2 linked regions of the Callithrix jacchus genome follow. The protein of the gene in region 2 purifies or fractionates together with the protein of the main gene of each other region. This does not show direct contact. Links are inferred from orthologs where the notes say so. Each region holds a gene or a part of one and is shown on either strand. Other genes may lie near its edges.

Evidence for each region. The genes of interacting proteins can lie anywhere in the genome.
Region 1: the proteins of STX10 (region 2) and NAPA purify together in Homo sapiens (affinity purification with mass spectrometry; 3 studies listed by BioGRID and IntAct, with this or other methods). This does not show direct contact. The link is inferred for Callithrix jacchus from reciprocal best matches to the Homo sapiens genes STX10 and NAPA.

What each region holds. Positions count from the first base shown.
Region 1 is NC_133523.1:41,453,014-41,456,759, forward strand, and holds the start of NAPA (alpha-soluble NSF attachment protein), read right to left. Parts: upstream 2,563-3,746; 5' UTR 2,412-2,562; coding exon 2,314-2,411; intron 29-2,313; exon of another isoform or gene 1-28. UniProt on the Homo sapiens protein: Required for vesicular transport between the endoplasmic reticulum and the Golgi apparatus. Together with GNA12 promotes CDH5 localization to plasma membrane.
Region 2 is NC_133523.1:11,969,685-11,973,430, reverse strand, and holds the start of STX10 (syntaxin-10), read left to right. Parts: upstream 1-1,474; 5' UTR 1,475-1,586; coding exon 1,587-1,621; intron 1,622-1,862; coding exon 1,863-2,032; intron 2,033-2,176; coding exon 2,177-2,271; intron 2,272-2,635; coding exon 2,636-2,698; intron 2,699-3,535; coding exon 3,536-3,643; intron 3,644-3,746. UniProt on the Homo sapiens protein: SNARE involved in vesicular transport from the late endosomes to the trans-Golgi network.

The DNA of each region.
Region 1 (3,746 bases), about 29 Mb from region 2:
AAGCACACGGTCCAGTACCCACCAATCCCTGGGCCAAAGGGAACAGACACTCAGAGCCACCCAGGAAAACCATCACCAAAAACCCAGCTCGTGGTCCCACCCCCAAACACAGCACTTGAACTTCTCCCCTTATGAAGAAAACACACACATACCCCCTCTCCCTCCTCTCAGCCTCTAAAAGAAAACATTTTTCACCTAATCAATATGGTCCATCAGCCCCGGATGTTTCCCCACACCAGGCAATTCCCGGTCATGTTCTTCAAGTTCTTTTGCTAAACATTATCCAACCTCAAACAAGGGGCGAGGCCCAGAGCCTTTTCCCGTTCTTTCCTCTCTTGGAAAGATCCCTCCACTTCGTGTCTTACCAGCCTCTGCCAGCTTCCTACCATGGTCTCCTCCGATCCCCAGGCCCTCCCCCCAACCCCCTTCTCCAGCCTTCTGCAGACGCTCCCAGTCCTACCACCTTCCCCAGGCTCTGCTTCTGAGTGGCTACCACACATCATCCTCTCTACAAGCCCACTAGTCCTTTCCCAAGCCTCCTCTCTGTTCCCACAGCCTCCCCTTGATCCTTTCAGGACCCCCCATCAGCGCAGATCTCACTCCCCACCTCCCACCCCCTGCCAAACCCTCCCCAGCTCCCTTCTACTTCCTCTGCCCAGAGTCTCATGTGCCTCTCCACCCTATTAAGTCCTCCTGGGTCCCTCTTGTGTTTTATTTCAGCTCCTCTTAGCAAACTCATGCTTCTCCATCTCTCCCTCTTCTGACCCCTCCCAGACCTCTCCGCTCACACTAACTTTGAACCCCTCATCCCTCTGCACGCTCCAAATCTGTTCCTTCTGGAAAGTCACATTAACAACAGCTAACATGTTCAGAGACGTTAACTCCATGCCAGGCTCAATCCTAATACAGCAAATCGCAGGTAGGTTTGGTTCGAGGTCTCCTTTAATGGGGAGACTGAACAATTTACCCAAGGTCATGAAGTGGCAGAGCCACATTTCAAACCTGGCCTCTTGACACTCCTAAGCCACTAGAATTTCTCAGAGGATGGCTGTGTCGCTTTTAGGAGCGAATGCGAGTTTTATGCCATGCCATATGCATTAGTTCTGTCTCCCAAGCCTCTTCCCATCCGTCTTCTCACCATGTCCCTGTCATCATCATCACCATTACTTGAGGATCACACAGCAGGCCTCTGATCCCCCGTTTTGGTTCTTTCTGTCCCTCTGTCTCGCCCTGTTACCCCTCCATCTCCTTGGCCAAGCCACCACCATGTGTTCCCCCACCCAGGAGTCTTTAGCCTCAACCCAGGCCTCCTCAGTCTTTTTGTTTTTCTTTGACATGGAGTCAGTCTCGTACTGTCACGCAGGCTGGAGTGCAACGGTGTGATGTCGGTTCACTGCAACCTCTGCCGTCTGGGTTCAAGTGATTCTCCTGCATCAGCCTCCCGAGTAGCTGGGATAACAGGCACCAGCCACCAGGCCCAGCTAGTTTTTGTATTTTTAGCAGAGAAGGGTTTTCACTACGTTGGTCAGGCTGGTCTCCAACTCCTGACCTCAGTGATTTGCCCACCTCGGCTTCCCAAAGTATTGGGACCTCCTCACTCTTGGCTCCATCATGCGGGTTCCCTGGTTCAGCTGTCTTTAGTCACTGCTAACCAGGGCCGGACTCAACCTAGGCACCCCCCAACACACACTTCAGATGTGTTTCACCACTCCTAGGATCACCAAATTCCCGAGACCCTCCGTCTGGTGTCAGCCTCCTTCAGCCATCACCCTTACTGCCCAGGACCCCCCACAAATCCACTGCCCTGGGGGACTGGAAAGGTCAGTCCCTCGGGCAGGGCGTCCTCAGTCCCAGGACCCATCACGCCGCCTGAGAGCCTTCAGACAGATGCCCCTAGAGCTCCGAAAGGCCTCCGACCTGCCTACTCTCCCGGATTCCCTCCGTCCCCCCCAGGCCAGTCCCCTCCAAAGCTTCAGGACGTATTCCCTCGGTCCAGGTTCTCCCTCGGCCCCCTGGCCTGTCTTTGGCCTGAGTCCCCTTTCTCGCCTCAAGACAGTGTCGCCTTGGCCCGTGTGTCCTCAGCCCATGTCCCTTCCGCCATGTCAGACCGTCTCTCTTCAAACCGTGTTGCCCCGGCCCGAGCCCTTGGCCCTCAGTCTGTGTCCCCTCTGCCGCCTCAGACCATATCACCTCATTCCAGGTTCCTCTCCGTCCCCTCGGCCCGAGCCCTGCGTGCCTAACCCGCCGCCTCCGGCCGTGACTCCTTCGTCCTCTCACCCTAGGTCCCGGCCGACCCCTGAGCCCGGTTCTCACCCAAAGAGGCCGGAGAAGAAGGACTGCGAGTTCTTCACTTTGCGCTCCGCCTCGGCCAACAGCGCCATCGCCTCCGCTTCCTTCCCGGAATTGTCCATGGCGACTACAAAGAGACTCAACAAGGCGCTCAACCCCGACCCTGGGAGGACTCAGCCGCGGCCGGGCCGCGGAAAACAGGTCGGGAAAGCTCGACCTGCTGCGTTGACGTCGCACCGGTGCGCGCTGCTGCAGCCCGGAACCACGTGACTCGCGCTGGCCAACCAGCGGCCTCGTAGCGCGGCGCCCGCTCCGGCGACCACGCCCCAACCTGCCGCACGCCGCCAGTGACTCAAGACCCCCCAATTGGCGTCCCGAGACCTCAACGCATGCGCACACACCCGCGAACGGTGCCCCTGCGGAAGGCAACGGCGGAAGGCAATGGCAGTTCGCACCGCCGAGGCCCCGCCCCACGGTGCTGAAGCTGAATCCTCCTTCACCAATCAGCAGAAGCCCTCGACTCGCGTTGTGCGCCCCCCGCCGCGGAAGTCCGGCGCAGTCAGCTGACCGCGGACACTCACGTGACAGCTCGGGGTCCACGCCCGGATTTGACGGCTCTGCGCAGAGCTTAGTCCCGCCCCCTCGGTTAGTTTCGCGGGTTTCTTCACTGGGAAAGCCGTTTGGAGGAAAAGGAAACAGGACTACTTTTTTTTTTTGCTCCCTCTCCCGGCCAATACTGGAACTGCTTCGGGGAGACCAGTGAAGTAGTTCAGAGACGGGAAACAAAAACTTTAGAGATCCTTTAACTCTCTGGCTTCAGAAAAAGTAGCTGAAGAGGGCCGGGCGCGGTGGGTCACGCCTGTAATCCCAGCACTTTGGGAGGCCGAGGCGGGCGGATCACTTCAGCCAGGCCAACATGTCAAAGCCCTGTCTCTACTAAAATACAAATAGGAGCCCAGCATGGTGGTGCACGCCTGTAATCCTGGCTACTCGGGAGGCTGAGGCAGGAGAATCACTTGAACTGTGGAGGCAGAGGTTGCAGTGAGCCGAGATCGCGCCACTGCGCTCTAACCTGGACGACAGAGTGAGACTTCGTCCCAAAAAATAAATAAATAGGCCAGGCGCGGGGGCTCAGGCCTATAATCCCAGCATTTTGGGAGTCCAAGGTGGGTGGATCACGAGGTTAGGAAATCGAGACTATCCTGGCTAATCACGGTGAAACCCCATCTCTACTAAAAATACAAAAAATTAGCTGGGCGTGGTGCTCAGGAGGCTGACGCAGGAGAGTCGTTTCAACCCGGGAGGCAAACGTTGCAGTGAACCGAGATCGTGCCACTGCACTCCAGCTTGGGAGACAGAGTGAGACTCTGCCTCACAAAACAAAAACAAAGAAGGGTTTTTACTTCCGGGACCTTCCAATCTAAGCATAAAAAAAACACTCTAGACAAATTCCAGTT
Region 2 (3,746 bases):
GGCTGGAGGGGCGGGGCTTTGCACTCCGGCCACGCCCCCCCCTCCCCGGCCCCGGCAGCGCGAGCAGGCTGGAGCCCCAGGCTTCCAGACCCGCAGCCAGCCGGGTGGGTGGGAAGGAGAGTTTCACTTCCTTCCCTCCTGGGGCCAGGAAAGCACCCCGCAGCGGGTAGGGGCGACCTCAGGGCTTCCACGTACGCCATCTCACAGACACGCTACAGAACCACCCTGCATACACAAGAGACGAGCCGCTGAGGCCCCCTCATCCCTTCTTTCCCCTTCCCAATTATTTCCCCCATACAAAGCCCCCTCCCAGGTTATCCCTGTCCCCCGCCCCACAGTGATCTGTCTTGGGACACCCTCCCGTCCTGCCCTCCCCCCGCAGGTGGGGACTCAAGAATTATTCCCCCCAAAAAGACCCTTTCTAAACTTGTCCCCATTCAACGAAGCTGCCACCTGAGGAAGACGCCCCCGTCCCCACCCCAACCTTACCACGGAGACCCCCACAGTGACTTCCCCAGCCCAGGCACCAGGCACTACCTCTGAGAGCCCACACAACAACTCTGACGCGCAAGGGGGCGACCCTCTGAGGACTCCCTCAGACAACCCGCCCACCCTCCAGGGGAGACCAGGCCCCCCACCACTCAAAACGTGCTTTCTCAAGACTCCCCTCACCACCCAATACACAGAGCGCCACTGTCACACATAGGGTGACACTATGAGTCCCTTCGCTGATACTCCTGGCCCCTACCCAGAGGGAGACCATCCTCAAAGCCACCATCACACCTCCTGGGACACCCAGGCTCAAACCCAGAAAGACTCCGCGCTTCTAATGAAACCCACCACCACGCGCGCCCTTGAGGATGACCTTCCCCCGCCTCTGGCATCTCTGAGACCCCCTCTCAAGACCACCTCGCCCCAAGGCGACCTCGAAGTTCCCTCAACTTCCCCACTTCTCAGGAAAGAGAGACTGGGAGAATGCAGCAGAACTCCCCGCACAAGCAAGTCCCCTCCTCACTCCGCCCCCGCAGGGAGAAGAGTACCACCTCTCCCTACACCATGCCCAAACCTGAAACTCGGGACCCTGGACTGGGACGATCTCCGAAGTGCCAGCTCAGGGAGTCCATGAAAAGATTCAACGAATGGAATGAACCCCTTCCCCAGCTATAATCCCCAACCGTCAGAAATAAGGGAGGCTATCATTATTTACATTGCCCGTGCCCGGAAGGGAAACTGAGGTTGCGCAGCAACAATCCGAGGTGTTGGGTCTCGAACCGAGATTCCGAAGTTGGACCCAAACAGGCCCAACCAGAACTCGGACACCGCCCCCTACGGGGCGGCACACAGGGGGCCAAGGGGCGGAGCATATGGACCGGAAGCTGCCTCTGCCCAAAACCAAGATGGCTGCAGAGAGGACGGAAGTGTCTGCACTTCGGGCCTCCGAGGCCTCTCCTTCTCCCCTGGCGGTCCCGCTCTCGATGGTGACGTGACGGGGGCGGGAGTGGCGGCGCGTTCTCCTCAGCTGCGAGGCAACCAGCCAGCGAACCCAGGCCTGGAGGGGGTTCGGCCTGAGGGGGAGGGAGACTGACATGTCTCTCGAAGACCCCTTTTTTGTAGTCCGAGGGTGAGTGACAGCGACGGGGGCGGGCGGAGGGTGCTCAGTCCCCAAGTCAGCCAGTGCCCGGGTGCTGGCCCCAGCATGCCAGGCGGGCTGGGCAGGGCCGTCGGGGTGCAGAGTGGGAGGCGCAGGCAGGGGGATACTGGGGTCTCCGGAGTCCCCCATGCGTTTGGGTTTGCAGTCGGGGGCAGAGGCGGGCGGGAGGACCGCCTGCCCCCAGCCGCGCCCGCCGTGCCCCTGCCCGCAGCGAGGTGCAGAAGGCGGTGAACACGGCCCGCGGGCTGTACCAGCGCTGGTGCGAGCTCCTGCAGGAGAGCGCGGCGGTCGGACGCGAGGAGCTGGACTGGACGACCAATGAGCTGCGGAATGGCCTGCGCAGCATCGAGTGGGACCTGGAGGACCTGGAAGAGACCATCGATATCCTGGGGCTTTGGGGCGGGGGTGGCATGGGAGAGCCCCCTGCGGTGGTAGGGGCCTGGGAGGTCGCCCTCGGGAAGGGCTGGACCCCTAGGGAGGGAGATGATGTCTGGCTCTGGCCTTGACCCTTGACTCTCAGCCCACGCATAGTGGAAGCCAACCCAGGCAAGTTCAAGCTCCCGGCCGGGGACCTGCAGGAGAGAAAGGTGTTCGTGGAGCGGATGCGAGAGGCCGTCCAGGTGCGCAGAGGTCCTGCAGGCGGGGTCTTTTCTCTCTTTTTTTTTGAGATTGAGTCTCACTCTGTCGCCCAGGCTGGAGTCCAGTGGTACAATCTCAACTCACTGCAACTTCCATCTCCCGGATTCAAGCGATTCTTGTGTCTCAGTCTCCTGCGTAGCTGAGACTACAGGAGCCCGCCACCATATCTGGCTATTTTTTTGTGTTTTTAGTTAGAGACGGGGTTTCACCGTGTTGGCAAGGCTGGTCTCGAACTCCTGACCTCAGGTGATCCACCCAACTTGGCCTCTCAAAGTGCCGGGATTACAGGCATGAGCCACGCCCAGCATGAGTGTCTTTCCTCCCTAATGCTGTCTTCACCTCCAGGAAATGAAGGACCATATGGTCAGCCCAACAGCCGTAGCCTTTCTGGAGAGGAATAGCAGAGAGGTAAGCCTTCCTGAGCACCTGGGGGTGACCACGCCGTTGAGTACGAGCCAGATCCTTCTGCGTGTGTTCACCTGTCCCTTCTGTGACAGTGCCCATCCTGTGTGCAGTTGTCTTCTTGCTGTCTACCTGCCTGCACTTCCTGGGTGTGTGCACCTGAACCTCTCTGTGTGTGTGTGTCCATGGGTTCCTCTCTACTGTCTCCTCTGGCTGTATCCTGGTTTCCTATTGCAAAGGAGGATTGGAGGCCTGTGTACCCCTCTCCTTTCTGCTTCCATACCATTTGTCCTGTATACAGCTGTTTCCAGGACGCATGCCTGCCTTTCTCTCTCTCTCTTTTTTTTTTTTGAGATGGAGTCTTGCTCTCTTGCCCAGGCTGGAGAGTACAGTGGCTCAATCTTGGCTCACTACAACCACCGCCTCCTGGGTTCAAGTGAGTCTCCTGCCTCAGCCTCCTGAGTAGCTGGGATTATAGGAGTGCACCACCACACCCTGCTAATTTTTGTATTTTTAGTAGAGACAGGGTTTCACGTTGGCCAGGCTGGTCTTGGACTCCTGACCTCAGGTGATCTGCCCACCTTCACCTGCCAAAGTTCTGGGATTACAAGCATGAGCCACCATACCTGACCTGCTTTCTGCATTTTACAGATGAATACACTGAGGCACAGAGAGGTCAAATAATGGGGTCCCTGGGTCACCTTGTTAGTAGGTGGTGAGTGAGGATTGCAGGCTGTCCCACGCCAGACTCTGCCTCCCTGACTCAGCACCGTAGGGCCTTGCCTCACACGCCCTACTGTAAGTTGGTGTCCCTCCCCAAGTCTGTGTTCTGTGTCCCTGCAGATGCTGGCGGGCAAACCAGCTGCCCAGAAGTCACCCAGCGACCTGCTGGATGCCAGCGCCATCTCGGCCACATCTCGCTACATGGAAGAACAGCAGGCCACACAGCAGGTTTCGGGGCAGGATGGGTAGATCCTGAGAGGGAGGAGCCTTGCAGACCCATCTGAGGTCTGAGGTCCCTTTCTTTCTTCTTCTTCCTTCTTTTTCTTCTTCT